Linked DNA regions of Saccharomyces cerevisiae S288C. The protein of the gene in region 4 interacts with the protein of the main gene of each other region in a pairwise test. Each region holds a gene or a part of one and is shown on either strand. Other genes may lie near its edges.

What was found.
Region 1: the proteins of YKR104W (region 4) and TRP5 interact in a protein complementation assay, tested with the Saccharomyces cerevisiae proteins (one large-scale study listed by BioGRID).
Region 2: the proteins of YKR104W (region 4) and PRO3 interact in a protein complementation assay, tested with the Saccharomyces cerevisiae proteins (one large-scale study listed by BioGRID).
Region 3: the proteins of YKR104W (region 4) and COS1 interact in a protein complementation assay, tested with the Saccharomyces cerevisiae proteins (one large-scale study listed by BioGRID).

The regions. Positions count from the first base shown.
Region 1 is NC_001139.9:442,630-451,942, forward strand, and holds TRP5 (tryptophan synthase TRP5), read right to left. Parts: upstream 5,907-9,313; coding exon 3,783-5,906; downstream 1-3,782. Other genes in the region: SCW11 (putative glucan endo-1,3-beta-D-glucosidase), read right to left, coding at 1-280; CWH41 (mannosyl-oligosaccharide glucosidase), read right to left, coding at 1,013-3,514; PGD1 (Pgd1p), read right to left, coding at 6,135-7,328; PIB2 (Pib2p), read right to left, coding at 7,568-9,313.
Region 2 is NC_001137.3:199,183-207,359, reverse strand, and holds PRO3 (pyrroline-5-carboxylate reductase), read right to left. Parts: upstream 6,285-8,177; coding exon 5,424-6,284; downstream 1-5,423. Other genes in the region: GCD11 (translation initiation factor eIF2 subunit gamma), read right to left, coding at 526-2,109; carnitine O-acetyltransferase YAT2, read right to left, coding at 2,397-5,168; SRB4 (Srb4p), read right to left, coding at 6,485-8,177.
Region 3 is NC_001146.8:3,482-12,029, forward strand, and holds COS1 (Cos1p), read left to right. Parts: upstream 1-4,848; coding exon 4,849-5,994; downstream 5,995-8,548. Other genes in the region: YRF1-6 (Y' element ATP-dependent helicase protein 1 copy 6), read right to left, coding at 1-2,450, 2,599-2,617; DDI2 (cyanamide hydratase), read left to right, coding at 7,971-8,548.
Region 4 is NC_001143.9:653,334-661,268, reverse strand, and holds YKR104W (uncharacterized protein), read right to left. Parts: upstream 4,434-7,935; coding exon 3,513-4,433; downstream 1-3,512. Other genes in the region: VBA5 (basic amino acid transporter), read left to right, coding at 805-2,553; putative multidrug transporter NFT1, read right to left, coding at 4,533-7,935.

The DNA.
Region 1 (9,313 bases), on a different chromosome or scaffold from region 4:
TTTTTAAGAGAACTTTAGTGATAGTCGTAGTTGGTTCAGCTGTTGGGTTCACACCTTGTGGAATTAAGGTTGTTGTAAAGGTAACACTATCGCTTATTAGGAATTCGACAGTTGGGGCAATAACAACTTCGGTAGTAGTGGAGTAAAAATCAGTCACAACATTAGTTGTGCTTGCTGTGTGAACTCTCGTTACAACTTCTCTCTTAGGAAGAATCGGTAAAGCTGAGGTTAGATAAGTTAAGCATAGCAGCGATGATAGAAAGCTTATGGGTGAAATCATGATGGTTTTCTATTAGATATTATATCAATGAGTGTAGCGTAATAATAAGTCGATAAACAGTACAGAGAATAGAATAGATTTATTACAGTGGAGGTATGTCAGTAAAGGCTTATTCTTCTAAAAGAGTGGACTGTCTTTGTTGCGTAACTGACGATTATAGTACTGTTGCCTTAATATATAACAGTGTATTTGGATAAGCAGAAGGAAAACACGATCATTGAACTTCAATTTTCTTTCCACTTAAATAGTCCCTCCTCAGATTCTTAATTTGTTTTCGGTGCAGCATATTTTGTTGTCAGTCCTTACACTTTAACATTTTGAGATCTAGTATCCAGCTTGTAAACAATAACATTCCCTAACTTTTATTCATCTTACCGCAGTAAATAGAAAAGACCTCACTTCGCAACCATTAATCCCCAAAAGAAAAAAAAAAATGTGACATTTCATAATGCATGTTTCGAGTGTGTTTTCGATTGTTTATTTGTCTGGCTTTTAGCTGCAATGGCCCAGACTGCTAGTTACCAGTTGCTGGTTTCCACGATTTTTTAACTTTTTCTCACAGCCGCATCGAAATGTAAATAAACGCGAGAAAAAAAAAGCTGAAAATGCTGGCTCTAACTAAGAGATGCGAGGCCCTTTTCGAATAGCTGGAACATTTATAATTTTCATCCTGCATACTGGTACATATCTGGTTACATATCTGTTTATATGACTGAAAATATCTACATAGATTCAGAAGCGTCCAAGGATGTTGACAACAAGTGCTGTCCAGCCTGTGAAATGCTCAGCACCAGTACCATGACCATCTATCGGACTGTAATTTTCATAACAATAACCTTGTTCTTCCCAAACTTTGTATATGTTGTTACTGAGATTAATCTTTAAACTTTGGTACAGTTTCTTGGCATTGCTAGCCTCACCAGCCACGTCGAGAATCACCTCTGGGTAGTAGTATCTCATTGCGTCAAGACACAAGTAATTAATATTCATCCAAATTGGGCCTCTCCAATAGTTTTCATCCTTGCCGAAATAGTCGTCTTGTCTCGATAGTGATAACAGCCCGTAGTCTGAAAAGATTTTTTCTGGGTCACTCATCAAAGCAACTACTTTCTCTAGCTTGGGTGAGTTTTTGGGGATTAGCTTCAATGCAAAGGGCAATACGGAGACGTAACCCTCATGACATACAAACTCCCTAATCTCATCGTCTTCTGGATCGATGCTAATATCACAGTAGCAATTGTCATTTTCACTCCAGTGTAACAAATCCAGATTCTCGACCACCTCTTGCTCAATTTGTGCATATCTTTGCTCGTCCTGTGTTAACTTCAACACGTGAGCAATTTGCTTCATGGATCTTGTCATAACGCCCACCCATGCTAATGCGTCTACGTTCAATTCTGCTACATCTGGTGGTTGTGCTCTAGGATAGTCATCCATACCGCTTGGCAAACAATGAGTGAAGGTACGCCCAACCCATCTATAAACTTCGTTCTTATGAATCTTATCCCATATTCCTTCATCTTCCAATATTTCCTCATATTCATCAATAAGTCCTGTTTGAGATTTTCTGAACCAATTATAGTGCTTCAATAGCTTAGGATAAATTTTCTTGGCATATTCGGTTAGCAAGCCAGGATTGGCTTCTAGATTGTTCGTCATAAACTTGGCTGTCCTACTATTGAACATGACTTGGTGGTAGCTGTCACTGTTGAAATCGCCGATGTTTTCAATGGCCCTAGAAAGCATTTCACTAAATGCTAGCAATAAAGTTGGCGGATTAGCAATATTGGGATTTTGCACCTGAAATTCCTGCGGAACTTTACTCCTTGCCTCATTACCCAGTATAATTTCTCTAGCAATCCAACCACTATCATCTTCGATCATTTCAAACCAGCTCGCTAAGATTTCAAAGGCAAGGTCAAAATCATACTCCATAATTTGTAGAAGATGGAAACCTTCATCCCAATAGAATCCACGTGGGAAAAAGCCACGGCTCGGAACGCTGGTAAACAGTTCAAATGGACCTTCCTCTTTTGCATTCAGCAGTTTGATCTCTGTAAACTGGCTCTCATCAAATTCTGTTTCACGATCAATTAGTTGATTCCCATAGAAATAACCGATTCCTCCTAATAGGTTTGATAGCGTCTCTAAAGCAAATCTTCTTTTGACCTCCACGCTTTCAATTGAGTCGGGACCTTCTCCAAAACTAAACTGCTTATCAAAACGCGCGTTTATCTCATTTAGTGACCAAGTAATCAACTCCGTAACTTGTTCCCTGGTGGAAATACTTTGAGTAGTGCCAAGTTTATTGTAAGTGATATCAAATTGGAACCCATCTTTTTTGGTCAAATCAAATGTCTTTTGTATATAATGAAAATTACCAGGATTAAAATTGTACAAATTTCTAATAGTTAAAACACTTGGTATTAAATCAGCAGGACGCTGCTTTGTCTCTTCCTTTTCCAGTATATCACGTATCGAATCGCTAACTAGAGATTGGAAAACATCACGAGCCTTCCAAACTTCTTTATCCGGGATTTGAAGTGATAAATGACTTGTTTTAGAGCAGTCACTTCCTGGTGCTACTTCCATGGTTTCATATTCCGGATTTTTGAAGTAGTGACCAAAATTGTCCTTTACTGTAAGATGATACTCGCCTAATTCTTTAGAATATCCGAAGAATTTCATGTCATTAGGGCCGTCATGACCTATCATTGCTAAGGAAGATTTTCCATCTATCTCGCCACCATTTTGACTAAAGTACAATACGACAGATGCTGTAGATGGTCTCTTGGGATCCAAAGGCTCACCTTGAACTCTCACTGACCAATTTTCCCCGTTCTTGCTCTTTACAAAATAAACAGTCAAGTTCAAGTTATTTTTTTCATCAATAAAAACTTCTTTACCACCAATTCTTGGATCATACACTTCCCAACCATACTTTTGCAATTTATCCTGAGGCGTTGCAAAATGTCTTAACGAATGTAAGCCATCCTGACTCAAACTGTTGAACCACATGATACCCATAATTAGTGGACTTTCATGGACATATCTGGGCCTCATACCAAAGTAACAATTGGATCTATACGGTGCCCACAGTAAAGATTCATTCGTGAACTTTTGATATTCTTCGAATTCTTGTAGTTTACTAATATCAACGGTGGCAGATGCCAGGAGAACTATGCTGGTTAGTATCCAAAATGTTTTAAACATCTTAGATTTTGAAATAAGCATTGTGAAGCAACCTGAACCGTTATTATCCACTACTTCCTTATTAACAGTTGACGCTAATATAGTGTGTCACGCATACAATAATTGAACTTTTAAATTACGCGAAAATGTGGCTGTTCTGACCGAAATGATCTAAAATTGGTCACGATACTAATCTTGAGCAAATTGAGAGGTAAAAGAGCTGAATATGCTAATGTATCCCGATCGTATATTATATTCGTCTATGTAGTTAAAAAGCTAAATAAAAGCGTTCCTTATCAGATATTACTCATTAGGCAGATGGGTCTTCTTCGAATCTCAAATCCCAACCTATCTTTGGACCTAATTTCGGCAAGACTTCAGCGACACTTTGGACATCTTTATCACCTCTACCAGAAATATTGATAACCAAATGTTGATCAGGCTTCATCGTCTTAGCCAATTCGCAAGCGCCATAAACAGCATGAGAAGATTCCAAAGCGGGAATAATACCTTCTAATTGAGATAATAATTTAAAGCCAAGCAGAGCCTGAGCGTCAGTAGCTGCAATGAATTGAGCACGGCCAGTAGATTTCCAATATGCCAATTCTGGACCGACACCTGGGTAGTCTAACCCAGCAGAAACAGAATGAGTATCATGGACTTGACCATCACTATCTTGCAAGACATAAGTCTTGACACCATGGAAGACACCAGGTCTACCGGCAGTTAGAGTAGCAGAGTGGAACTTTGTATCTACACCATCACCACCGGCTTCCACACCCAATAACTTAACGGAAGTATCATGCTCGAATGGTGAAAACATACCTGTAGAGTTGGAACCACCCCCAACACATGCAACAACTGCGTCAGGTAATTTACCATTGTTCATGGCAGCAAACTGTTCCTTGGTTTCTTTACCAATGACACTTTGGAAAGTTCTAACCAAAGTTGGATATGGGTGAGGACCAATGGCAGAACCGACGACGTAGTAAGTAGTTTTCAAGTTAGTAACCCAAAATCTGAATGCCTCTGAAGTAGCGTCTCTTAGAGTCTTTGTACCATTAGTAACAGCAATTACTTTAGCACCGAGAATTCTCATTCTGAAGACGTTTAAAGCTTGGCGACGAACATCTTCTGCACCCATGAACACAGTACAGGTTAAGCCAAATTTAGCACATGCAGTGGCAGTGGCAACACCGTGTTGACCAGCACCGGTTTCAGCAATAACGTTCTTCTTGCCTAATCTTTTAGCTAGAAGAACTTGTGCTAAAGCATTGTTGATCTTGTGAGATCCCGTGTGGTTAAGATCTTCTCTCTTCAACCAGATTTGAGCACCTTGACAATGCTCAGTTAATCTCTCAGCTTTGTGTAGTGAAGAAGGACGGCCAATATAAGAATACAAGGATTTGAAGTCTTCCCAGAATGTGGGATCGGCGACAGCTTCATCAAAACCCTTTTCCAACTCTCTTAGACATGCATGAAGAGCTTCTGGGACATACTGACCACCAAAGTCCCCAAATCTAATTGGGTGCTTGTGATTTTCATCAAATTCGTCCAGTATTTCCTTCTTAACGTTTGCGGACTTCAAGGACTCTTTTTGAAAGGCAAAGAATTCGTCCTTGGACAGAACCTTATGCTTAGCACCATTTAGAATTCCCTGTACATATTCCTTAGCAACGTCGTACCTTTTGCCCTCTGGAGCATCTCCACATAATGTGACGATTTTGGAACCAATCACTACACCGTCAGCAACACTACCAACTGATTGGAAATGTTCTCTGGTAGAGACACCAAACCCAACGGCCAAAGGAGTATCCTTGGTGTACTTTCTGACTCTAGAGATGAGTTCATCCAAATCACTGGCCACAGAACTTTGAACACCAGTAGTACCCATTCTAGACACAACGTAGACAAACGAATCGGCAATATGCGATAGTAATTCCAATCTTTCGTCGGTGGTAGAAGGAGCCACTAGTGGGATCAGGCTCAAACCATTATCATTGATGTAGTTTCTGACCTTCAACGCCTCCTCTGGTGGCAAATCGACGATGATAAAACCATTAGCACCAGCCTTGGCAGCGTCCTGAATAAATCTTTCTTCACCGTAGTTTAGAATAGGGTTATAGTAACCCATTAGGATTATGGGTACGGTAACACCTTCATTTCTAGCTTGGGAGACCATTTCTAGAGTTTGAGGCAAGGTAACACCGTTTTGCAAAGCCACAGTATTAGATAATTGAATTGTAGGACCATCTGCAATTGGATCAGAGAAGGGCATACCCAATTCGATGATATCTACACCACCATCCTGGAAACCCTTGAGAATAGGGACAGTGTCTTTGACTGTTGGGTAACCTGCGGTCATAAATGTGACCAAGGCGTTCCTGTTTTCTTTTTTAGCGTTAGCAAATGTTTGTCTGAGTTGTTCTGACATGGTCTGTCGGTGTGCTATGTCCCTTTTTGGAGCAATCGATGTTTACAGTCCATAAAAAGTGTAAGAATCTCGATGATTCTTATATGACAAATAGTAAAATTAGTCATTCTTCCACGGTCAAGAAGTGAAAAAAAATAAAAAATAAAAAGAAAAGCCTTTCGGGTAATAAGGTATAAAGAATAGAAGATTATACAGATAATTACTATCTTGGATACATAGATGCACCAGTCACAAGAAATCCATGTTCAGACCACCTAATTCCAGATTGTTCAGGTCTAGAGAATCCAGTTCTTTCCCCCCGTTATTCATGTTATTCATGCCCATATTCATATTGTACTGTGGTTGAGGCTGCTGCTGCTGCTGTTGCTGTTGCTGCTGCTGCTGGAAATCGTTATTCATGCTCATATTTAGGATATTAGCAGGGGTTAGATTGTTTAGGTTTAATTGTGACTGTAGCGGGGTGTTATTGGAGTTTGTATTTGTATTTGGATTGGATCCATTGCCGCTGCCATTGAATTGTGACATAGATACTTGTCCCCCTTGGTTTTGAGCTCCCATTGAGTATGCGTTCCCCATGGGAGACATCATGTTGGTCAGCGGCGTGCCCATAACATTTGTGGGCGAAACGCTGTTAATCATGCTAGGAGTTGGGTTGGGTAGCGCGGCTGCCATCGATGCTGTTATTGGCGTCTGGACAGTCGACTGCTGTGCGTAGACCTGCGCTTGAGCCTGCGCTTGAGCCTGAGCTTGAGCCTTTGCCTTCTTGGTTTGTCTTGGTTTTCTTGGCTTTTTAGGTGCCGCAATCGGTGCAGCTGCAGTGCTATTATGTACGGTTGGAGTTCCCATAGTACTACCGCTTTTTGGACCTCTCTTGCCGGCCAGGGGATTATGTTGCATTGTAGCGGTGCTATTTGGATTCGAAAGCGAGTGCGCATGTGTGATGGGATTTGCATGAGGGGTGGCAGTTGTGGTGGGTGTCGAAGCGGCCGCAGAGTGGTTGGTGCTTACAACAGTTGCTGTCGAGCAAACGGCGTTGCCATTTTTGTTATAAGTACTCAACGGTTCCAAAAGCTGGAAACTTCTGTCCCTGTTATCTGCAGTCTTCAAGTATTCTGGTACAGTGCTGAATAAAGGTTGCAGTGCTTCTAAATGCGAAGACAAAGTCTGGAATCTATCGTTCAGTTGCAAAATCTTGTCTCTGATATGTAGGTATTTGGCCATACGGTCAGCCTGCTTGGATCCTTCTTGGTCTATGTTTGCCATTATCTGTATGAATTCATTGAACTGCAATCGCAACGGCAGAATTTCATCGCGTGCTTCGTTGATCTGCTTACACACTTTGTCCCTGGTTTCATTCTCGTTCTTAGCCAATATCACTTGTAAATCATCTAGCTTGACGCCTGCCGGTATAATCGAGTCCATTCCGGTTGTCTTTACTGCTGTTGTGTCCGTTTTGCGCTGCCTAATTGAAGAAGTCTTGGTGACTGTTTCTGTTGTTCTCTTTAAAATTTCGCTCGGCGCCATACCGAAAATCCTCAGGAAAGTGTTAGTGTTATATATTATATTATATTATATCATATTATATTAAGTTTATTGTATACATAATGGTCATACATCAATAGTGTACATCCTCTCTTCGCTTGTCTCGCAAAAAATGTTCATCAGAAACTACTCCAATTCCAGTTTGCAGGCACAGAGCCGATAACACTGCCCAAAACATCATTACCTTCTTCTTGTTCTCCCCCCGTATTCTCATTATCTGCTTCTTCGTCGTTCGACTTCACCTGGATGGGCGTTGTTGTGTCTCGATCAACCGTGGCATGCTCTTGGGACGAACCGCCCTTCTTTGGTCTGAAAAGAGCGTTCATCTGCCTATTCTTGTAGTAATTGCGTAATTTCTTCCTATTGTCATTATCGTCATCTTCGCCCTCCTCAACGTTTATGTTATCCTCGTTCGTGTTTGCGTTATGGTTCGTGGTTGAAAGGTTCTCGTACTCGACCAGACAGTCATCGCATATTTTACAGAGAGTGCCACCGCCATTTATGCCACCGTTGTTTAGTTCGTTGATCATTATAAAATTTGCCTGCGAGTCCAGGTACAGCCAATGGCGCAAATGGTCTTGACAAAAGATGTCCCCGCAATGCCTGCAATGATGTTTCCTTTCCCACAGGGTAAAAGGCTTATGGCAGTAACGACAAGAATTCCTCTTACTGTCCGGAATCCAGTGGTCCTTAGTGGGCGGGTTTACTCTGGCAGAGTTTCTGTTTGAAATAGTTGGTATTAAGTTGATTCTGTCGCTGTTCGGAATAGAATTCGGGAACAAGTACGAGGATATTTTGTTTTTGTAGCTTTCCAAGATTGACGATGTGTTGGATTGTACGCTGGATTGAGAAGATATGATCCGTAGGTTGTTCGCATTCTGAACGCTAGCGGATTGCGACTTGCTTGGATTAAAGCCATGTTCCAGGTTAGATGCCTTCTTGTAGTAAGACGACAATGTTGCATTCAACAGATCGTCATTAGTTATGTTTGTCTCTGAAACTTTCCTCAGCACGGCGGGGATGTATAGCGGTTTTTTAGGGTTACTGATCTGTCTTACATTTGATTTATGTTTATTGGAATTAAAATTCAGATTAGTGCTCGAAGCAGGCTGCGGTAAAAATTCCAGCGAGGGTTTCCTTAGCATCTGCTGATGCGGCGGTTTCGCCGCATGATTCACCGAATCAATAATGACGTTCGTGTTGCCAAACCGCAGTTGGGACATCGAGCTAGAATTCGTTGTAGTCAGCTTGTCGACAATATTTTCCACCTTCGACGTCGACGATGACGACACTGAAGACGTGGACGAAGATGAAGACTCTTTCGCCTTGTTTTCTTTACTCAACCTCAAATTAGAACTAGCATTCATTTTGAACGACGACAACTTGCGTAACGCCTGCGTGGTTAGATTCTTTTGTCGAACCTCGTCATCGTCATCGGCATCATCTTCTAACTCATTGAACACAGTTTTGCTCTTTGTATTCTTGCCCCTGCTAACATCCACCACGCTATTGGTGGGATCTAGTTCAGGGTTCGATCTTTGGTCATCCGTGAATGGCAACGTCTTGCCGATCTCCTTACTAGCAGAAGCCTTCCTACCATCTATCTGCCCTTCACCGAGCTTGCTACTGTGGCTGCTGCGAACATTCTCCTCAGCAGAGTTCTTCCTCAATATGGACACCATCGCCGGAGATTGGATCTGCTGCTTTCTGTCAACAAACCCAGTGCCTGCCCCTGTTGAGCTCTCTTGCTGCAACTGCTGCTGACGATGTTGATTTACCATCGATTTCAATGAGATGCTGCTCAAAATACTCTGTTCGGAATGCGTTGACGCCCTGGGCGCTATCTTCTTCTTTTCAAACGTGAT
Region 2 (8,177 bases), on a different chromosome or scaffold from region 4:
GGCGAACTTATATAAAATAAAACCTTTTCAAGGTTATATATACTCAATAGATACTGAATAATTTTGGAGCTTCATTATCTTTGTGCAATTGTCTCCATGTACAAACCACCGATAAGATTTAGTGTAGAGTATGTTGGGTGTAAAAAAAGAAAGGCAGTTTATTGACTACTGGTGTAACTAGACGATAAAGGTTTGAGAGGTTTTCATGGCATCAATGGGAAATAAATGAGTTCGAGAACTATGAGATAAATATTTGCTTAATATTATCGCGTTTAGTAATTTTTTCTTAAAAATACGTAAAACATGTTAAATATACAGTTGAATACTATGTAAGAAGGAAAAAAAAAGAAAGAAAACGTTATAAAAAGAGAATAAAGATCATCAATGTCATTACGCATCAATGTATATGAGCATATTGCAATAACCAGAAGTGTCAGTTTCCCTTCCTCCTAGCCCGTTTCTTATCTTCACTTTCTTTCAGATTAATTATGAAATTTTTGTCTTTGCAGTGGTTTTATTGGTTCCTTAAGCGATGGGTTCCAATGTAGTACCCTTTTTAATGGTTGCCCAACCAATCAAACGCCAATGCTTTTCGATACGTCTCGACAAAGCAATCTTCTCGTTAATTTCAGTACAAGCGGGCGACGTTAACTGTAATCTTGCCATATCAGCTTTAACGGCAACCACACGAGCCCCCGTAGCGGTAGAACCAATGTTGACCATAAGAACTTCATTTGGCTCTAATTTTCTGACTTTGGCTTGCTTTTGACCATCTGTTTTGACACCTAATAGACGACGTAGCAAAAAGTAGTTGATTTCGATATCAGTATAAATGTTTGGCAAATGACCCTTAGCACCGACGACTTGACCGACAAGACGATCAGCTCTACACAAGGTAGGATCAACTTTAGTACCAACACCAATCAGACCACCGGGAACAGCAAACTTCAAGTCATTTTGTTCGGCAAATAAGGAGACAATGTTAGAAAAGATTGGTTTACATTGAATTTTACCCTTATCATCCTTGGTGACAATACCTGGTCTAATCTCAATTTCATCACCTAATTTGAAAACACCATTCAAAATAGAACCACCGGCAACACCACCTTTCAGGTCCTCGATTTCAGCACCTGGCTTATTAACATCAAATGAACGAATAACAATTAACCTTGGAGAAATCATAAAATCTCTTGGTGGTACGGGAATAGTCTTGACAATAAATTCATTAACTGCGTCGATGTTATACTTCAACTGAGCGGATATTGGTACAATAGGAGCACCGTCAGCAATGGTACCTCTGATGAACTTCAAGATGGATTTTTGGTGTTCTAAGGCACTTTCTTCACGCATTAAATCGACCTTATTCTGTAAGATGATGACGTGCTTTAATTTCATGATTTCAATGGCAGCTAAATGCTCTGAGGTTTGAGGTTGTGGACAAGATTCATTACCTGCAATCAACAGTAACGCAGCATCCATAACAGCAGCACCTGATAACATAGTACTCATTAAGATATCGTGACCGGGACAGTCAACAAAAGAAACGTGACGGACCAATTTGTAACGCCCCGGACAACCTGGTCTTTGACATTTAGGACTGATTTCTTTATCAGATTTGAATGATCTATAACAATCAGGTTCGGGACATGTAGGCTCTTGACATTTATAAATTTTAGCATTAGCGTAACCTAACTTAATAGTAATGTTACGTTCTAATTCATCCTTAAAACGGACTGTTTGGACACCTGAAATAGCCCTAACTACTGTGGATTTACCGTGGGCGACATGACCGATGGTACCGATGTTTATTGTAGCTTGCCTGTTGATAATTTCGGCGGATAGTGGGTTTAATTTTGAAAAATCAGGGTTTAATGGTTGTTCGGGCAAACCACCACCTTCTTCAAATTCCCTTTTCCTTTTTTCTTCTTCAGTTTCCCCGTCTTCTTCCAAGCCAGTGAAGGCGACTTTCTTCTTTGGCTTATCAGCATCTTGTGTTTCTTGTGTTTCTTGAGCTACAACTTCCGTTTCTTCAACGATATCTGGTTCACCAACTGGTTCCAAATTACCGTTGATAATAATGCTAGGTTCTTGGTCTTGTAAGTCACTCATGTCTACCTCTAATGCGCGATGTTAACGGTGTATTACGCTCTTTCCGCCCTCTTTGCTTAGCTCCTGGTACAGGTCGAGATGAAATCTCTGTCTTTTGTACTGATGATCAGCATCGGGCTATTCTATGAAAATTTTTTCAATGGCAAATCTGGTCCGGGTTACTGACATGAGAGCAAATAATAAGCATAAATTAAAGCATATTGATATACTTCATATAACAAGTATATATCACATCACGCCAAGCTTACGCATAATGCTAGTAATAAATAGATAAACAAAGAGCGTTCTTATTGATCTAAGGTCGCCACCTTTCTACCCACACGACTGCGGTCAAAATCAATATCGAATCTTGAGTTGATGACGTTACGTTTCTTGGAATTTAGAGATGTAGCTGAAGATGCCGAAGAGGATGTGCCATCAGCATTGCCAGCAACTATTTCAATATCTGTCTCATCATCTGCTTCCAACCCATTACTTGCCACTTCCCGCGGTTGGATCTGTAAAATTTCATGGCCTGTATTTAATTTTTCCTTTTCTGTGGGAACGGAAACTGCGGAACTTGAATGATCATTGTCTGCGCTCATGGTCAAGCCATTGAAGGTTTTCTGCAAATTCTTCATCGATGGTGTTTTAGATATATTCCTACTGTCAATGTGGCCTTCCAAATCGAAAAACCCGCCATACCTGTTCAAATTTACCTGTGATGAAGAAGATGTTTTGCGGGAGCCATTGACTGTATGGCCGTTACGTTTCGGAGGATTATTGACTGCATTGTCCATTTCATACAATTTATCGACCACTGGACTGATCTTCACGCCAGTTTTATTATGAGAAGTGCCGCGTGACATCCTCCAGTAGGAACGAATTTCGCCTAACACCCAACTTAACATAAACATTAACCTGTCACCCTGTCGAAATTGCGATGTCACGGTCAAATCTACTTGATCATCTTTAATGATGTACCCTATTCCAAAGCCATGAGGTACAGCAGGAGTTATACCAAATGTCGTGGTAGCAGCATTACCACAGTTGGCAACAATCAACTCAGGCTGTGAGAAAGGTAAAACAAGTGGATTTTCGAAAAGATCTTTCGCAGCAGATGATTCATCACCACTTAAGTGGATACCAAAATGGTCATGAAATTTGAAGAGATATTTCAATGCATTGAAGTGTTTTTCATAACCTACCCCAGACTTTGCATGTTTAACCATGTTATTATGTGTTTCGCAGGTTTGGATAAATTTGTCTAATTTATCTGTCCCATCAATGGAGCTAGAAATAAACAATTGACATAGTTCCAACAGCGCTTGACTTTGAATGTTAATAAAAGATGATCTCGAGTTTTTGAAACCACGTGTGGATACTGGTTCTAATCCAAACACCATTCTTCCATACAAAGCATAGTGAGCTATTTGTAAAGCTACTTGAACCATCGAATCGGGCTTGACTCCTAATCTTTGAGCTGACCTTCTGCCCAATGGAATAGAAGCGCGAACAATATCATACTTGGAAATCAGATCAGCTAGTTTGGTTTCTGACAAATGGACATGTGTGTTCAGGATGTTACTGAAAGACCAATCGATTTTATTTACAACCAACTTAGGGTCAATTTCAGAAGGGCCTCCGCCGTCGGCACTTATGGTCGCCGTCATCAGTTTTTTAGTTTCAGGATCCATTTGTGTCACGTTAGGCCAGAGTGAAAACTGTGGGTCACCGGCGTTAACGTCTCTAGCTAATCTCAAGACTGATTCTGTATAAATTTCAGAAGTAAACCGAAGCACGACTGACCCGTCACATGTGAAGGAATCCCAAATCACTGTGGCTTTTGCATCTGCAGTGACAACTAACTGTAATTTATCATACCAACGAGAAACACATGAACCCACTTGATGGCCTTTGCTATTTATTATAGAAGTACCGTAAAACACTCTCTTACAATTGGCGGAAGTACATTTCTTGTCTCGCTCAGTGATAGTCCTGTTAAACATTTGACTGATATCAGCGGTATCATCGCCATCATTGGTAGTTTCTTCTTGTGATTCGTCCAGCACTAACACGAACAGAGCAGAGTCTATGCGATGTAATTCATTAGGATACCTTTTCTGTAGTCTCTTCCTTGCATATTTCCAGTTTCTAAAAGAGTGAGAGGTCAAACTACCTAACGCAGTTGATTTTTCAATGCCAGAAGAATCTTTTATTATATGGTTGAAAATTGTGGTTAATTCTGCAGCAGTGTATATAATTTTATTCGTCGAATCAAGTACTTCCAGTGTATAGTATTGGCCCCTGGAGATGATCAAGATGTGTTTGCTATCCGGATGTCTTTTTATAGTTATACCATTGCCAGTGAATATGTCTTCTTCGTGTTTTCTTTTACGGTCATCAAAGTCTTTTTGGGTGGGTTCGTCGTTATCGTCCTCATCGCTTGAATAATCAGGGTCTTCTAAATCAGATGCTGTGTAAGGTTTGTTCAAATCAAAATTTTCAACCTCACCGCGCTGAAAAACAGGACTACGAGTAGTACCGAACAAGTTCAGAAATGGAGCCATTGACAGTGGTTTGCCATTGGTGGCATTGATATCTGGTGGCAACAAATCTTGTTTCAAAGCAGAAATAAACCTGGCCGCAGAGTGCACTAGGACGGCTGACCTATCAGCTTGAGTGATGTTTGGCAAAGCGTCATCTGCGAGAACCAAGAAGGGATTCCTGGGTAGGACATCGTCCTGAATCTCCCTAGTGGAGGTCTGGTTATTGATGTCTAAGTGTAATTCATCAAGGTAGCAATCCCTAGTGTCATGGTAGCTCTGTAGTTTAGATTGCAGCTTCTCACTTACGGGATTCTCTTCAAAATCTCTTATTATGGATGACAGCTTCTCAATTTGTTCTGGATCTAAAGGATGTTGATAGTAACCATCAGCATAATACAATGGCTCTAAACTCTCCTTCAGACGCTGCAAAGTGTCACAGAGTTTAGGTAATGGTAACTTGGGTAGTTCTTCCTCATGCTTAAATGTTCGCCCCGACTTGTCAGACGAAACAATAGTACTGCCGCTTGACATGGTTGCTTAGTTTTATTTTAATTTTGATTTTTGATTTTCATTTCAAATGAATCAATTGCTCTTACTCATTACAAACACATTTATATAATTTTTTTCTTTTATACGCTCCAATTAGTGTCATTATTATGGGGTAGTCATTCATCGTGATGATTCATTATCGGACCGACGGGAAAATGACGAAAAAATGCAAGGTCAGTAATAAAAAAATAATATACGGCTACAAAGCGAACATACATACATTTCACGCAAAGCAATCTATTTCTTCTTTTGGCCTAATTGTGACGCAACACGGGCTGCCTCTTCAACACCATTGATAATACCGCTCTTGACGCCCTTTTCTTCCATTACGCACAACCCGGCAATAGTTGTACCACCTGGTGTGCAAACTTGATGCTTTAAAACGGATGGATGAGCACCGCTTTTCTCAACCATCTTCACTGTTCCTTCTAGAACTTTCATGGCACACTCCTTACTCTCTTGTAATGGGATTCCCAATTTCAACCCACTCTCCATCAAGGATTCTAACATCAAGAGAACAAAAGCGGGGCCTGAACCGACTAAAGCCGTAGCAGCATCCATGTTCTTTTCTGGAAGCTCAACGTATTTACCAACTTGGCTAATCAATTCGTTGACCAGTGGCTTTTGCTCTTTGGAAACATCAGCTGAGTAGGACACCACCGCACAACCATATCCGTACTTGGCAGGTGTGTTCGTCATAACACGGCAAACAGTGCTAGTGTATTGACTCAATTGGTCAATTGTCCAGCCAGCAGCCAGGGAAATAAGTAGCTTTCCCCCAATGACGCTCTTCACACCATTCAACACTTCTTCGGCCAAAAATGGCTTGGTACCAAGAAGAACTACAGAAGCTTCTTCGACAGCGCTCACGTTGTGACCGTAAGTGCTTTCGACTTTAATACCGTTAGGAGATTCGTCGAATGTCTCAACTAGATCGGTAACTTGTTGTGCACTAGGTTCATCATGGTTACATGTGATAATTTTGGAAGGGTAAAATGCAGCAGCAGTTTCATCAGCCGCCTTTGGAGCATTATAAATGGCGGAAAGAAGTGCTTGGCCCATAACACCGCAGCCTAAAATTGCCAATGTGTAAGTCATATCTGTAGTTGGTTTGTTTGCTATTGGTGTTGTGTTACTTCTATTGTTGTTACACCGTTCTTAACCTGGCAATGTTATTAAATCCTTCATATTCTTGTTTTCGAAGATAAGATCTTGTCCTTTTGTACGTATGCGACTTTATATAGTAATAAATGGCATTCTATGGCAATGTATGTAGGTTTAAGGAGTGACTCAGGATATTACACCTTCTTTTGCTGGATGTACTCAGCGACAATAAAATGTAGGAAGTCCTCTACTTCTTTAAAATCAGAAAATGTTGTGTCAAAGGACACTGCGTTGGCTTCCGTACCAGCTGAAAACTTGATGTGAATGAGTGCGTTACAATAGTTAGGACTTTCGAGCATTAAACTTAGATTAGGGCTTTTGTGCTCAGTTAATGGTAGATTTATTTTGAGTTCACGTCTAGGTATATTCAATAGTTTATCGAAGGCACGGATCTCTTTATTTAATTTAGTTATATTTTCATCATCAATGTTTTTATTTTCTTGAGGTTGTTCTCTCTCAACTTCCGTTTCTGTTATACTTGAGCCAGGAACTATATCGAGCACGTAATCCTTTATGATTTTTTTTAGTAACAGTTTGTAATTAGCAAACCGAACTTTACCAAGAATGGGACGTATTATTAAGATATCATCGTCAACATTCAAATTGATCAGTCCGTGGGGTGAGCTTATTCTCGATCGTAATGTTTTCTTGAATATAACGACTAATAATAGTCTCAACATAACAAGCATTAAATTTGCTCTCTTGTCGTTGATTTTTGGTAAGTCTTGTTCATGATTGACAATGGAGTCATCGTCAAGGGACAACAACTCGATTTCAAATTTTTCGTTAGGTAGTTCAATTATTACCTTGTTTTCGTTTTCAATACTGACACCATAGGAAATCAACAAAGCGCATTCTTTCTTTATTTGGTACATCAGTTCTTTTTCAAAAATGATCTTTTTCAAAAGTTGGATTTGCTTTCTGATATCTTTCGTTTCAGCTTCTTCACTTTCACTATCCCTATCCATCACACTTTCGCCACTCAATATGTAATCATCTTCTGATTCGATTTTTGTGAAGATACGAACCCTTAAGAATTTCTTTACTGAATGTACGAAATCAGTGCCTTTGAACACTGAACTACTGTGGGGTATCAAATCCAAATTTTGTGATTCTATATTATTCCTTATATTAGCAATACCTCTGTCATGCTTATAGGTAGATCCAGAGTCTTCGTAACCATACTTAATTGCCAACAGCTTTTGACCACTAGTCCTGTCCCTAATCTTAAAAATAACATCCTTGTTGCTAATACTCTGCATTATCTTATTCCAATAGTCATGTTCGTTCTGTAATATGGAACTCAGTTTATTAAAACTTGCGCGTAGGAGATCTTTAGATTCGTTTAAACTTTGTAACTTCCATCCCTTATTCAATATATCCAACTCGATATATTCTTTTTTTGTAGGTGCAACATATGGAATTTTATCACTGTTTAAACTAGAAGGTTTAACAACTTTCCTAAGAAATGGTGACATTGATGACATACCTGTAGACTCTTTAACACTCGACAGTAGCAAAGAAACGAATTCCAAAGCCAAAGACGATTCGTTCATGGCCAGATTTATATGCTCTAGCATATCCCTCCTTCTTTTAACAAACTGTTCCTGTGTCATTACCGTTTCAATATTATCATCGGTCTCGCCATTTTCATTCGTTTTGTGGTCTGTTTCATTTCGTGAATCCACTGGATTATCTTTATCTTCATAATCCACTTCCATGAAATCTTCTCCAATTTGTACATTCTCATCAGCGCCATCAGTGTCCTTCTTCTCGCTGTTATGACCGTCACTACTATCACTACCAAGCTGCTTAATCTCATTTTGC
Region 3 (8,548 bases), on a different chromosome or scaffold from region 4:
CGTTACTCTTGAAATTTTTTGATGATGATCTGAACTCGCCGCCTCACCTGCCACTACGTCTTCCGCATTCCGAGTACTAGAGAATGAACAATGGTAGTCGCTTTCAAGGCCTAACCATTGAATCCAGCGCTCGGAAGCTCGTTCCTGCAATAAAGTGGCGGTCGTCCCACTGACACTAGTTAACGAAAAGGAATCCACACCGTAAATATTTCGCCCTGTTTGAACGGAATGATTGGCCATGAGTTCACTCGTCGCCGACTCGTACAAATCTGTTTCAAATCTGCTACCTACGCAGTGCCGTCCTAGGGCAATCAACCCCTGACGCATCTCCCGAAAATTCAGCTTCTGAGGTGCATTCTTCGGAAGTTCCCTCATGTACTGCCGAAAAGTTGCGTATTCAACCAGACAGCCCTTCGCGGTATTCAGAAACATGTAGGAATACAAAACTATCCTCGAAATGTCTCGATTTGTTACTTGATCTGGATCCTCAAATCCCACCACATCCATCCAAGGATCATGATTAAAAGCGTCATAACTGTTACCAAGCGCACATATTTGCATTTGCCTTAGCACAGTGACAAAATAAAACACGTAATCTGAAGTGAGTCCGTCAAGCGTCTTAAGTCGAGGCTCCGATGAACCGTTCTTGTTGTAATCAGTGTACAGTTGGATGCGTCTTGTTGTATCATCGACGTATACGTTGCGCTGAGGACCGGCAAAAGCGAGTAGCTGAAGCTCTGGATAACGGTAAGGGTATCCTACGGCAAAATGGATCATCCACATAAGTGGCACCGTAAGCTCGTCAATTGCAACAGTGACTTTATTTTTAAGAGCCGCGGTCATTTTGTTAGTATCTCTTCTCAACTTGGGCAGCACAATTTCACGATATTTAACAGGTATCATTTGAAGGAAAGAATCGTTCTCCAGATACTCGTCAATTCCTCGCTTTGGCTCTCTGAACAAAACTTCTCGATTACGCAAAATGAGGCTGGCAATATCAACCACTGTAGGCATATAAAAGCAGTCGTTCAATTCTTCCCAAAGGTTATCAAACTGAGCCTTGCATGCAAAGTAAAAGCCGCGGACATACTCGCGATTAAACAGTTTTCCACATACTGATACACCATCAGAAGAAGGTACCAAAGTTATTCTATAAGAGTCCTTCAGCGCGGTTTCCTGCGCTACTTCGTGGTACAGAATTTTGATCCATTTCCACATCGCAACGCCGTTGTTGTCATCAAATATATCTAAATCCCTTGCGGTACAAGCACAAGACGACACCAATAAAGCTTTCACGGCATCTAGTGTTTTTCTGAGTCTTCGTGGAGTGTTAGGACTGCGCAACTTACATACTTTCAAGCCATGCTCGTCCACAGAGGGAATAATGGGTTCTTCATTCGTAATGGATCGATCCTCTTCGTCACCAGCGCCACCACGGGGACCCGCCCCGAAATTGAGCGCACATGCTCGCAAGATAATATGCAAAATATCACCCAATCGGTCCTTTTTGTTCATCATATCGTTACATATCTGTGAAAAGTACTTTATCTCAGTGGGTTTACGTGGGCATAGATCACGCTTCAGCCGCTCTGTGTCGACTTTCTTTTCGCCAGGTAAACTTGCTTGGTATGCAGAAAAAATCGATAGCTCATCTACGTGTAGTAACAAAAACATGTAGGGTGCCAAATTGTATCCATATTTCCTTATGGTGCTTTTCTGAAGACCCCTTACAATAGGTGTGCCAGAAACAAAGTCAGTGAAAGTACGCATCGTAGAGCTGTCGTTCGGCCTGGCACTCGCTATTTCGTAACAACGTTCCAGGACACGGAAACTCAACTCATTATAGTATCCTCTGTTGAGGTAAAAAAGAGAAAGGGTATCGTAATCCTTTCTATTGAATTTCAAAGTATGCACTTGAAACAACGTGTAGACCATCAAGTTGATTTTCTTGGGAATAAGATACTTTGAAGGGATTGGTCCGCCCTGGAAATCTGGTTCGTCTTCAACAAACGTCAGGAACTTTTGTACATTTTTCCCGACCATGACGGAAACGACAATTTTTTCAAAAGACCTTTTCCTATCCATTGCACCAGTTCTGAATTTTACCACTTTGATTAGACCAGACTTTTCGTCTTCGTAGAATGACCGCACTTCCGTGGGGATCGATTCAAATAAAGTTATTGAGGGACAATGTACCAAGTCGTTTTTGTTATTTAGAGCCGACTCAAACTCGTCAAAGTTTGCTTTTTCAAACTTACGCCTATCGGAAACTTTCATTTTATTTTTGTAAGTTTCGAAATTAACAATAGTATGTTGATTGTTATGCTTTTTGACAAGAAATCCATCAATATAAACAAAAGATTGTCCAGTTTCCGTCTTATCATCATCTAAGAATGTAATAATTAAGCTATTGAGAAGATGCAGAATCTGCGCTATGCAGGTGCAAATCTCTAGCAGCAGCAAAGTAAATTCAGTTAGTAAGAAATCTCACTAAGATAAGCGACTGTCTGTCCCCTTCAAGCACAACATAGAAAGCAGAAGGATGTCTCATTCATCGCTTGATTTCCGGCCTGCAAAAATAAAGTAGTCGGTACGTACGTTCGTTTTCAATTTCCATGGTGCACAGTATCTTAACTATCTGCTTAGTCGAGGAGAACCAGGATTCTGTTCGTTGCTCAGCCGCTTCGTGGATATTCTCTTGGATACTTTAAATATGGACCTACGCTTAGCCTGCGCTTAGCCTACAACTTCTTCCGCTCTCGAAAAGACCAATATAATAGAAAGTTATAAATTACATTTCCTTATTAGGTATACGACCTCGCGCTTCGAAGTAGAGGAGCCCTTTTTGGCGTACCTACATATGGCGCGTCAGACAGACAAACTTCCCCCAAAAATGTATTACCCCGCCGAATAAGAAAACAGACCCATTCACCCACGACGTATCAAGTTACTTCCTTGGTGCAATGTCCCACTATAAAAAAATTCCTTGACGCTAGATCGTTGGACTAAAATCTGCGTCACAATCGCCTAAACAGGAAATATTGCCTATTTTCGTACAAGGTTACTTCCTAGATGCTATATGTCCCTACGGCCTTGTCTAACACCATCCAGCATGCAATACAGTGACATATATATACCCACACCCACACCCACACACCACACCCACACACCCACACCACACCCACACCCACACACCCACACCCACACCCATCACAACCCTAACCCTACCCTATTCTAACCCTGATGAACGTGTCTCTCAACTTACCCTCCATTACCCTACCTCCCCACTCGTTACCCTGCCCCACTCAACCATACCACTCCCAACCACCATCCATCACTCTACTTACTACTACCATCCACCGCCCATCATAACCGTTACCCTCCAATTACCCAAATCCAACTCTACTACCATTACCCTACCATCGACCATCTGCTACTCACTATACTGTTGTTCTACCCTCCATATTGAAACGTTAACAAATAATCGTAAATAATACACATATACTTACCCTACCACTCTAATCCCACTACCACATGCCATACTCACCTTCACTTGTATTCTGATCGGTCATACGTACACGGATGCTACAGTATATACCATCTCAACTTACCCTGCCATAACATTCCACTCCACTCCATGGCCCATCTCTCACTAAATCAGTACCAAATGCACCCACATCATTATGCACGGCACTTGCCTCAGCGGTCTATACCCTGTGCCATTTACCCATAACTCCCACGATTATCCACATTTTAATATCTATATCTCATTCGGCGGCCCCAAATATTGTATAACTGCTCTTAATACATACGTTACACCACTTTTACACCGTATACTAACCACTCAATTTATATACACTTATGCCAATATTACAAAAAAATCACCACTAAAATCACCTAAACATAAAAATATTCTATTCTTCAACCATAATACATAAACACACTCAATTGCGTATCAATACCACCATGACGTCATTAACTTAAATGTTCCTTAATACGTCATACCACTATGCTCTATTCCATATATTGTAATATAACTGTACTCTATAGTCATACAGACGCTTTTACTTCACCCCATCTTCTCATACTATTGTCATAGAATCTCACACTGACGCATGATTAAAACGAATAATTTTTACTGTAAGGGCTGCCATCCGCGCTCTATCCTTTTGTTTGCAATATTTATATACAGAATCTCAAAACAAGCGGGAGAAGTGCTAATTACCCAGAGGTCATGCATAATCTGAGTACCACCGTACCTCTAGGTTTTGCTTTGATCCGTTTTACAGTGACACCGAACATAAGGGGAAGCTATTGACATGGTATCGAAAGGTTGTCCACATTGGGAAGTAACTTGGTTCTATGAATCTTCATGTCAGATACGTAGGACAGACTCTTCCTGTGTAAATATTTGTGACAGCTACGTCTATTTTCTACTAGATGTTTACACAGTTTTGTCACAGGAAATCTACGCTTAAAATATGTATTTCATTCAAGCGGTAACCGCTGTACGAGCAGTGACATTGCTGGTCGCACCTTAAATGTAAACCAACGTTACGGCACACCGTGATGTACCCGCATTAAAGTTTTGTAAATTCGTTATTACGATTATCGAGTTGGCTAGATAGAAAACCGGAAATGAAATGGATGCCCTTTTCGAATAGCTGAGTTTCTTTGCCTAAAATAGCCCAATATTGTTTCCCTTTTTCTATCACGAGGTTACTGAGCCATTGCATGAACGCGCGCGCCTCGGCGGCTTTTTTTTTCTGCTGTGCTGTATAAAAGCGAAAAGCCAGAAGTTACTATCTCGAATAAAAAACCCCTCGAACTGCCATCTCACTACCGAAAATGAAAGAGAATGAACTTAAAAATGAGAAGAGTGTAGATGTATTATCCTTCAAACAGCTCGAATCCCAAAAGATTGTTCTACCTCAAGATCTTTTCAGAAGCAGCTTTACCTGGTTTTGTTATGAAATTTACAAGTCCTTAGCGTTTCGCATCTGGATGCTATTATGGCTACCACTTAGCGTCTGGTGGAAACTTTCCAACAATTGTATTTACCCACTTATAGTTTCACTTCTGGTCCTGTTTCTGGGACCAATATTTGTCCTTGTTATTTGTGGACTTTCTCGTAAGCGTTCCTTATCGAAACAACTCATTCAGTTTTGCAAAGAGGTTACTGAAAACACACCAAGTTCTGATCCTCATGATTGGGAAGTTGTTGCAGCAAATCTAAATTCGTACTTATATGAAAATAAGGCTTGGAATACTAAGTACTTTTTCTTCAATGCCATGGTCTGTCAAGAAGCGTTCAGAACAACCCTTCTCGAACCATTTTCTTTGAAAAAAGACGAAGCTGCCAAGGTTAAGTCATTTAAGGATTCCGTCCCTTACATTGAAGAAGCATTGGGAGTTTATTTTAGAGAAGTTGAAAAACAATGGAAGTTGTTTAATTCTGAGAAATCATGGAGCCCTGTTGGCCTGGAAGATGCTAAACTTCCCAAAGAAGCTTACCGATTTAAGCTTACTTGGTTTTTAAAGAGGATTTCCAATATTTTTATGTTGATACCATTCCTTAATTTTTTGTGCTGCATATATGTGTCACGGGGAATGTGCCTTCTATTACGCACCTTTTATCTCGGGTGGATTCTTTTCATGTTGGTACAAGGTTTCCAAAACATGAGGATGATCGTTTTATCCGTGAAAATGGAACACAAGATGCAGTTCTTGTCGACTATTATAAATGAGCAAGAAAGTGGTGCGAATGGATGGGACGAAATTGCAAAAAAAATGAATAGGTACTTGTTTGAGAAAAAAGTCTGGAAGAATGAAGAGTTTTTCTTTGACGGGATTGACTGTGAATGGTTTTTTAGCCACTTCTTCTACCGCGTTCTCTCTGCAAAGAAATCTATGCGGGCTCTATCATTGAATGTGGAACTATGGCCATATATTAAAGAAGCGCAATTATCCTGCAGTGAGGAGTCCTTAGCGTAAAGATAAATACAACTTTTTCAATTTATATATTTTGTAGTTTGTCAGCTGCGAATAACCAAAACGAGACTACTTTTTACCATTACAACCATTTTCTTTTTCCCTATTTCTCACTGGTTGACAGAAATCAGTGTGCTATCATCCTACCATATGCGCTAAACTTATTGTCTTTCTCCTCCTAGAGATGCTGTATTCCATGCATATTCTGAACGATGGGTTGGTGTTTTTATCAAGCAAGGTTAATCACATGGCGTGGCTTGCTCCACACATCAGTAGAAAACGCATACCGCAGCGGAATCCTTAAATAATAAGTGATTTTACTGTTCATCAACTACAATCGGACTCTTTCACAATTACCCTTCTTGTTTTCCACATTTACTGTTAAATGAAGGGATGTACAGAAGGCTTAGGAAAACCTGTGCTGAATACTGGATGGACACTGCATTCCCACAGTGAAACTTTTATAGATACACTGTCAGTTATTTTCGAACTTTCATCAAGTTGCTGAGTTTTAGTATCCCTTTGCCTTAGCTATATGTTTGAATGAGCAAAATATTTGCAATGTCTCTAGCTTTCTTGAAATATTGGTTTATATTGAGGGCTTGGTAAGATTTCAAATTTCACTTTGAAATACTCAGGAGAAAAATCATGCTCTTTTGATAATTTGGTGACTAAACATACATAAAACAGTTTAATTTTGGGTGGTAATGGCTGTGTGACTAGCTATAGAAAGAAAAAAATTAAAAAAAAAAAAAAAAATCAAGTAGTTCCTGCACTGCGACGTCCATTATAGCATTATGAATTGGTCCCTGATTTACGCATGCGATAAACTATTTTTAGCGCAGCCGCATATTATCCGAGAATAACTTCCGACATAAGAAAATTCGCAGAAAATAGATAAAAAACTGCTCTTGGCATTCTTCACTTCCTCTATTACACACTGTGTCATACCACAATCATCTCACAGTATGTATTTGTATGTTTATACATGCTATAACGTAAAACAATGTAGAATATATATCTAAATACCTCACGGTTTTAGTTTAGTGCAGCCCACATACTACTTTTTTCCTTTTGTTTTTTTTTATATTTCAAAGGTTAAACTCGCTTAGACTATGTCTATAATATAAAAAAAAAAATAGCTCTATTCCGTTTCTTTTATTCTATTTGATATTTCCATCACACTTTCATCTTAATCACGGATGTATACTGATAATAGGGTTGACTGCGCCTGTACGGATTACAGTGCCCTCTTCAATTGGAAAATCCAAGCTTTCAAGATGCGTAACTGTTATTCAAAGGATCCTCTAAGATAAAACACAGATCGGCAGATCCGAGAGTTGGCTTCTGTGCCTTGGGCTCAAATTCCTTTCCCACCTCATTCAAATTGATTTTTCTGACTCCAAAAAAAGACAAAGCCCTGCGATAGTTCCCGAATGTTGTAACATCAAAGCCAAGCACTCCTTTATAGAAGTCGCATGAACGTTGAATACTAGCAGCTGGTGAAACTACAGGGTCTAAACTAACTAGTATCCATATCGTTTTGAGAGCATTGAAAGTATACGGAGTACAAGCTGGGTTAGAAGGAATTTTTATCTTAACAGCAATGAAAATCAACTTTCTAGACTGAATCCCTCAAGAAAATTGCAAAAGACTAACCGATACTGGTTTAAAAGAGAAAGATGTCAAATATGCGGAGTTATACCATCAAACAACTTTGGACGGCCCCGAAACAAATGTCCGCAAAAAAGATCTTATTAAAGTGCATGGACACTATCATTTCTATAATACAAAATACTCCACCGCACAATAGTTTGTCGGGAAGTCATCAATCAATCTTGTACGAGCTTTACAAATAACTTTTTAGGATCGGTCCCCTCATAAAATTATATATAAATGGGTTAGTTTCCTTCTTCTTCTGTTAACATGAAGTTGCTTCGTACTGTTTTTTGCCTTGCTCCTCTTCAAAAGAATCAATCATGTCACAGTACGGATTTGTAAGAGTTCCTAGAGAGGTAGAAAAGGCCATTCCAGTGGTGAATGCACCTAGACCACGGGCCGTTGTTCCGCCTCCAAACAGTGAAACTGCTAGGCTTGTTCGGGAATATGCCGCTAAAGAATTGACTGCCCCCGTTCTAAACCACTCTTTGCGTGTTTTTCAATATAGTGTAGCTATCATAAGAGACCAATTTCCAGCATGGGACTTGGATCAGGAAGTTTTGTACGTCACCTGCTTACTTCATGATATTGCAACAACAGATAAGAATATGAGAGCCACGAAGATGTCATTTGAGTATTATGGTGGCATACTTTCAAGGGAGCTTGTATTTAATGCGACAGGTGGAAATCAGGACTACGCAGATGCAGTAACTGAGGCCATCATTCGTCACCAGGATTTGACTGGGACTGGCTACATTACCACCTTGGGGCTCATTCTGCAGATTGCTACTACGCTTGACAATGTCGGATCCAATACCGATCTGATTCATATCGATACAGTTAGTGCCATTAACGAGCAATTTCCAAGACTGCACTGGTTATCATGTTTTGCTACGGT
Region 4 (7,935 bases):
CATTTTGTCACTATTTTTTTTTTAACTTTTTTTTGGAAGTACTAAAATTATATGCTCGTAATTATTGAGTATCAAAAAAAAATAAAAAAAATTGCTGTGACGCCCCTTCAATGTGGTGTCTATACACCTGGTGACTTTAACTTTAACTTTGACCTGTCGTCGTACAATCAACTTACTTTCCGAAAATCCACAACGAACCAGTTATACCGAAGACTTTTGTACGACAAGAATACTGTACCGTCGAAACTATCTCTTTTCAAACTAATGAGTGAAGCTTGTGTTTATGTCTGTTGAAACAAGGAAAAAAATGCGGTGCCTGTCGACAGGATATGAGCACAAGTGCAAAATCATCAAAAAATTGAGTACCTAGATCCGGTGGTGTAGGACGAGCAAAGTTCCTTCATAAACAAACCGTAAGGGTTACTGATACACAATTTCCTTTGTGTAAAGAGTATTTGAGCAAATTAGTCGGCGATTGAAAGCAACACCCTTTTTTCTATATATAGTAGGTGAAAGTTAACATGCGAGTAAAAGTAGTGCCACATTTCCTTTGCAGCAGGTGCAAATTAGTACATATTTAACAGATAGCGCCGCACCTCATATGCAGCGCGTACATGATACGAGTCGACAAAATATGCAAAAGATAATAGTGTCATCACACCTTTATGAGAAGCGAATTTTTTTTTTTTTTGGTTTAAATATATATATACATATATATAGATGTATTCTAGTTATACTCATACCTAGAACTGATCAGACCAGATCATACCTGGTATAGAGCTTAATCGATAGAAATTCAAAAATATGGAGGAAACTAAGTACTCTTCGCAGCAGGAGATAGAAGGAGCATGTGGTTCAGACGCTTCATTGAATGCTAGAGGTAGCAATGATTCTCCAATGGGACTTTCCTTGTACCTCTGCCTGGCTTCGTTAACTCTTGTACTATTCATAACTGCACTGGATATTTTGATAGTGGGAACTATTATTGACGTGGTCGCAGAACAGTTCGGAAACTACTCCAAAACAGGTTGGCTCGTTACAGGCTACAGTTTACCAAATGCTATTCTGAGTCTCATTTGGGGAAGATTCGCATCTATCATAGGTTTCCAGCATAGTCTCATTTTAGCAATACTTATTTTTGAAGCCGGATCCCTAATTGCTGCCCTTGCCTCTTCAATGAATATGCTCATTTTCGGTAGAGTTGTTGCTGGTGTTGGGGGAAGCGGACTCCAAACGCTTTGCTTTGTTATTGGTTGTACGATGGTTGGTGAAAGGTCACGTCCATTGGTGATTTCCATCCTAAGTTGTGCATTTGCTGTAGCTGCTATCGTTGGTCCTATAATCGGAGGTGCCTTTACAACCCATGTTACCTGGAGGTGGTGCTTCTATATCAATCTTCCTATCGGTGGTCTTGCCATTATTATGTTTTTACTCACCTATAAGGCCGAGAATAAGGGTATACTTCAACAAATTAAAGATGCTATAGGAACAATCTCGAGCTTTACTTTTAGTAAGTTCAGACACCAAGTTAATTTTAAAAGACTTATGAATGGCATAATCTTCAAGTTTGACTTCTTTGGTTTTGCCCTCTGCTCTGCAGGGCTGGTCCTTTTCCTACTGGGGCTAACCTTTGGTGGTAATAAATATAGTTGGAACTCTGGCCAAGTCATCACATATTTGGTTTTGGGTGTCTTACTTTTTATTTTTTCATTGGTGTACGATTTCTTCCTATTCGATAAATTCAACCCGGAACCTGATAATATATCCTACAGGCCTCTCCTTCTAAGAAGATTGGTAGCAAAACCAGCCATAATAATAGTAAACATGGTAACATTTCTATTATGTACCGGTTACAATGGGCAAATGATATACTCTGTCCAGTTTTTCCAACTTATATTTGCGTCGAGTGCATGGAAAGCCGGTCTTCACTTGATACCAATCGTTATTACCAACGTTATTGCGGCCATTGCAAGTGGTGTGATTACCAAAAAGCTCGGTTTAGTTAAACCACTCTTAATATTTGGAGGCGTTCTTGGGGTAATTGGAGCAGGGCTTATGACACTTATGACAAATACGTCCACGAAGTCAACTCAAATTGGTGTTTTGCTATTACCGGGGTTTTCCCTTGGATTTGCTCTACAAGCATCGCTCATGAGTGCACAGCTTCAAATTACCAAAGATCGTCCAGAAGCTGCTATGGACTTTATTGAAGTAACAGCTTTCAATACATTCATGAAGTCATTAGGTACAACTCTTGGTGGTGTGCTTTCAACCACTGTTTTTTCCGCCTCCTTTCACAATAAAGTATCACGAGCTCATCTAGAGCCTTACGAAGGAAAAACGGTTGATGACATGATTTTGTATCGTCTTCAAAACTACGACGGTTCTCATTCGACTATTGGAAACATTTTAAGCGACTCCATTAAGAACGTATTTTGGATGGATCTAGGGTTTTATGCCTTAGGATTTTTGTTTTGTAGTTTTTCATCCAATAAGAAATTAATCATACCAAAAAAGGACGATACACCAGAAGATAATTTAGAAGACAAGTAGCGCAGTTATTTTCTTATTTTCATTTTATTTTTTTTCGCCTTTTATACAGACTTCAACACAATCAGAATCAAATAGGTGTATCGCAATGGAATGTAATTTCTTAAGTATTCTATATGTACTTAAAACCTATTAATATATGGATCAGTAGTTCATAAAATTCATGCTGGTGCGTTCAAAGATGTGTCTTTAGTAAGAAATCTGGAAAATTCGCGAGCCTGAATATACTCATCGCAGTGCAAGAAAAAGGTTGTCTTCTTTTCTTTTCTTGACAAAAATGCAGCGATAACCTGTAAAGAGAATCTCAAATAGACACATGATAGCAGCTGCGTAATAACAGACCTCAACCGCAATCACATTAAAGGCGTAAGCAAATTTGGCCAGCAAAATTTTCGTTTGTTCCTCGACATAAATTCTCATCAGAAAAACTGTTTACTGTCAGTGCTTTTGTCTTTGCCGCCAATACGGCAGAGAATTACATAGTATACTACGATAAACTTCTATAAATTTAAATATAGATAAAAATAGCACGATATGAACCACGGTACTCTCCAATAGTATACTTGCGATAAAATCAGCAGCTAAGTACTGAATAAGCATTTAAATTATGGTATTTTTTTTTTGCTCCTGCTGAATATTCGGGATTCTTAACGAGAGAGTTTCTTTTGTGATGATATAATATTATTTTCTAGTATAAGTAAAACTATCAAAAAAAAGTAATAATAACGTAGCTTGTTTATATACCATAAAATGTACCAGCAAAATTTTGTTTGGCACAGACAGGTTCAAAGGAGTTATTTCTTAAAGTTCTCAAAAAAAGTAGTGGATTAGGACATATAGCCCTGAAAAGTTAAAAGCGACTTCCTGAATGCCTTCTAATTACACACAAATATATGACGTAAGCAGATCGTATACTTCGTAGCTAGAACTGGAATGAATAAAAATAGGAAATTCTAGTTGTCTTATCTTTTATTATCGAATGAGACTTTAGCCAACTCGAAAAGGTTTTCGAACTCGCCACTCTGCCTACAGAGGCGGTAAAAAATGGTATTTCGATCAGATATTAGAGTGTATGGATGATCATACTCCTTGACTCTGCCCATTTCCATCACCAGAATTTTGTCATAATCTATTACTGACCTTAATCGATGAGCAATAGTCAAAATTGTTGTATTTTTCATTGTTTCTCTTATAGTTTTCTGAATTTTAGCATCAGAAATATAATCTATTGAGGCGGTTGCTTCGTCAATTAGCATTATATTACGTGCACCAAGCATGGATCGTGCCAAGCACAAAAGTTGTCTTTGCCCTTGAGATAAGTTTGAACCACCTGATTTCACAACAGTATTCAAATCAATGAATCTATTTCTTAGTTTATGACTAGAAAAATTAGGCTGCTCTTGCTCAAAAATCAAGCACAATTCATCGCATTCTTCAATTAATCCCACTTTGGATAGTACGCCATAAATTTGTACATCAGAATACCGATCGAAAGGATCTAAATTAGATCGAACAGTTCCATCAAATAAAGTAGGATCCTGTGGGATGCAGCTTATAGAATTTCTTAAACGCTCTAAAGGGATATGTTTTATGTCTTTGTTATCAATAGTAATCGTACCGTTTTCCCAGTCTGAAAGCCGGTAAATAGCCGCTATAATAGAAGATTTCCCAGCCCCTGTTCTACCAACAATACCAACTTTTGTTCCTGCTTTTACCTTGAATGATACATTATCTAGTGCCTTAGAGGAATGAGGAGAATAGCGCAATGATAAGTTTTTTAGTTCAACATCTCCTGTTTGAGGCCAATTAGCTGGAGGTGATATGTAGCCGTTTGATTCGGAAGGTATATCTGTATATTCTTTTATTCTCTCTACTGAACTCATCAAAAGTTCAACGCTTGAAAATACTTTTATGATCCATTGAGCAGTTTCAGTAAAGGAAAAGGCATTCGATAACAGTATCCCCGCTAGCCCCGCATCCAACTATGAGGCCTTCATTATGATCATTACAGAAGAACTAAAAAGAACAAGTGTCCCAATTATATCCACTCTATATGTGATCCACTCGGTGGCCATATTGAGATAAAAAAATGGAGCATTACTTCTGTCAATTGCAACCAAAGATTGAGTGATAAACCTACGCTCATCTGCTAATGCTCTAATTGTAGTTACTCCTTTGATGGCTTCAGCGAATAACTGGTGTATTGGAGAGATATTGATGTTATCTATTCTCTTCAACTCTCTAGATGCACGAAGATATAACGTACATACGGTATAATAAAGAGCGCATAAAGGAATAGCAAATAACAGAAATTGAGGAGTAACATATCCAATTAAAAGTATAATCCACAGACAAACAACGACGCTATAAGAGAGTCCTTCGAAATTAGGGATCAATTGTTGATCAATAATATCCATATCCTTGCTAAATCTGTTCATTATTCTTCCAGTCGGCGTGACATTATGAAAACGTAACTTGGCATATAAGATACTGGATAGAAGCTTCGCAAATATTTTCTTGGTGACGTTGGTACCTGAAATTATTGCTATCCAAACTTTACCAGAAGTTAAAAATGAAGAAACAAGACCTATGATAATATAAGTCAGTAAGAAATAGATGTTAGAGTGACCCTCAACTATTCTATAAAGCCAGGTAGACTTACTCCCTGAAGATCCAGTGTCCAGCCAGTATCTGAGCCAAAAGCCCTGAGACAGTGTGATTCCATGAATAAGGATGGAGGACGAGGTGAAAACAAAAACAACTCCCAGTCCCCCGAAATAGTCTGCTAACCATTTGTAAGCTGAAAATTTAACTGATCCTTCCATTTTTGTTTCCTCAAAATTTTCAACTTCAGCACACACTTCGTCTTGCGAGTTCCCTCCCTCGGGATCTCCATTCTTAGTTTTCTTTGATGTTGTTGATCTTTTCAAGTCAATTTGATTGTGAGTTGTATTTTTTGAATCATTGTTTATGCTTTCCCTCAAAAACTCATTAGATTTAATGAGGTCCGATGGTTTACCCTGTGATTTCACCTCGCCACGATCTAAAATCACAAGCCAGTCAGCCCGTTTCGTAACTAAAGAAATATTATGACTCGTAATGATGCAGGTCCTTCCTTTCATCATGGGGCCGCATAAACACTCTTCATATATATAAAGTGCAGTTTCAGGATCTACTGCACTCAAGCAATCATCAAGGATCAAATACCTGGAAGAGGAGTAAATTGCTCTGGCTAAAGCAATCCTTTGCTGCTGTCCGCCAGATAAGGAAAATCCTCCATCACCCACGTCTGTTCTTATGCCAGCTGTCATTGCTTTGATATCTTTGTCAAGACAACAGGATTTCATTACATCATCAAATTTTTGTTTGTTGAAGATTTCTCCAAAAACAACGTTATCTTTAATTGTTCCACTAATCAACCACGGAGTTTGAGAACAATATGCCATTGAATTCGTCATTCCGTCTTTACCAATCTCTAAGTCGTCGCGGGATTCAACTGTAGGTACGTATATTTTTCCAGAAAGAAGGTTCAATTCTCCCAATAGTCCAAGTAATAGCGAAGACTTTCCTGACCCAGTCGGACCTATAATTGCGTTGAGACTATTCAGCTTAAAATCAATAGAAATGTTCTTAAGTTTAAAACTTGTTTCAGCAGCTTCCCATTCCATGCTTGCATCTTCAAAGCCAAATTTAGTATTGCTTTGTTCCAAAATCTCATATTTTCTTGTTTCTGATTCATTAAGATAATCCTGGATTCTTTCAAGAGAAATAAAAGACTGTATCAAAAGGCTGACAGTCGAAGCAATTTGGTCCATGGGTGTCCTCAATATTGCAAATAAAGAAAGAGCTGTAAATGCTATTGTAGGAGTAAGTGTCTGATTTTGGAATTTAATAAACACTGAGAATGTTATTGCAGAGACCAAAGTGGGCCCAAAGAACCAAATGAGATGGTTCAAAAAGAAAATTGTTGCCTTCTTTTTAAGGAGTCTTATTTCCCCATCTCTTACGTTTATAATCTTTTGATAAAACAGATTTTCCCATGCCAGTAGCTTTATTACACGTATTGAGTTCAGAGCCTCACTAATCCCAGAGGTACGCTTGTCAGTTAGGATTAATTGATCGGCCTGATAGTTCCCGTAAAAAGTTGCACACCAAAAATTCAAAGGAATCATGGCAAGAAGAGCAAAGGTACCAGCAAAGGCGGACCATCCCAGTAGGGAATATAGTATCATTAGGGCCGTAACTGTCATGAAAACTGCTTCACATGCCAGATAAAAAGTGTTCATAGCTTCAGAAACCTTGAAAGCGTCAATTGACATAACATTGTTCACAGAGTTGTCTTTCCTACTAGACTTTTTTCTAGGTTCCGCTTCAGAAGAGTCAGGATTTTCTTCAAAGGATGTTGACGCATTTTTTTGAAGTGACGTTGTTGAGTCTTTTAGAATTGTTCTTCTTAAGGTTTTGGAATAGATATTGGATATCAAAACTGTTCTTAGTTGCATAGTACCCTTTTCACCTAAAAACAATCCTTGACCTCTACAAGTCGTGGCAATGATTTTACTGACGAGCATAGATGAGACGTATAAAGACACCAAGTTCCATGATTTTGACTTTGGGTCATTAACGTATGATAGTATTCTTGGCATCAACAATGAGGGTACAAAGTTCAAAAAACTAGATACAAAAGCCAGAAATAATTGGGAGATGAAAACAGCCTTAAAATAACAAATAATGTTTGGAAGGAGCCTTCCTTTTTTAGAAGACATTTCAAAGTTCGCCAAAATTGCTATAGACTTATTATTAATATCCAAATCCCAAATATCAGCGTTTCCAAGGCAGTGTTTGTATGCTTTCCAAATAAGCCGATCAATCCTAGAAAAAGTAAGAAGGCCAAAGACGGTAGGAGCCGGTGGCAACTTTTTGTTCTCATTTTCAACCAAAAATGAGTACCTAGTTCCTTCTATACTTGACGTTGATAATAATAATAAAAGCGCTAAATCAATGAAAGTCTCGGAAATGATATATTTGACCATAATTTTATCTTTTATCTTTCCAATGAAGACGGAACGAAGAGGTAAAATCGAAAGAGTAAACAGGGATGCATATGAGTAAAACGAAACAGCCCATAAATCACGCTTACATGCTAAAACCCACCGAAATGACTGGCTTGCTGAAATTAAACGAAGTGTAATAACAACAAGCAGTAAAATCCAGAGAAACATTTGAACCAGAAAACCTTGGTGAAAGAACTTTTTGTTATCCATTGGCATACTAGATAAAATATACAGGTGGATAGTAAGCTGCAAAACAATGAAGGCACCCTCTATAAATTTTTTGAATTTGTCGAAAGTAGATCTATTATTAACATTACAAAAGCTACGGCTT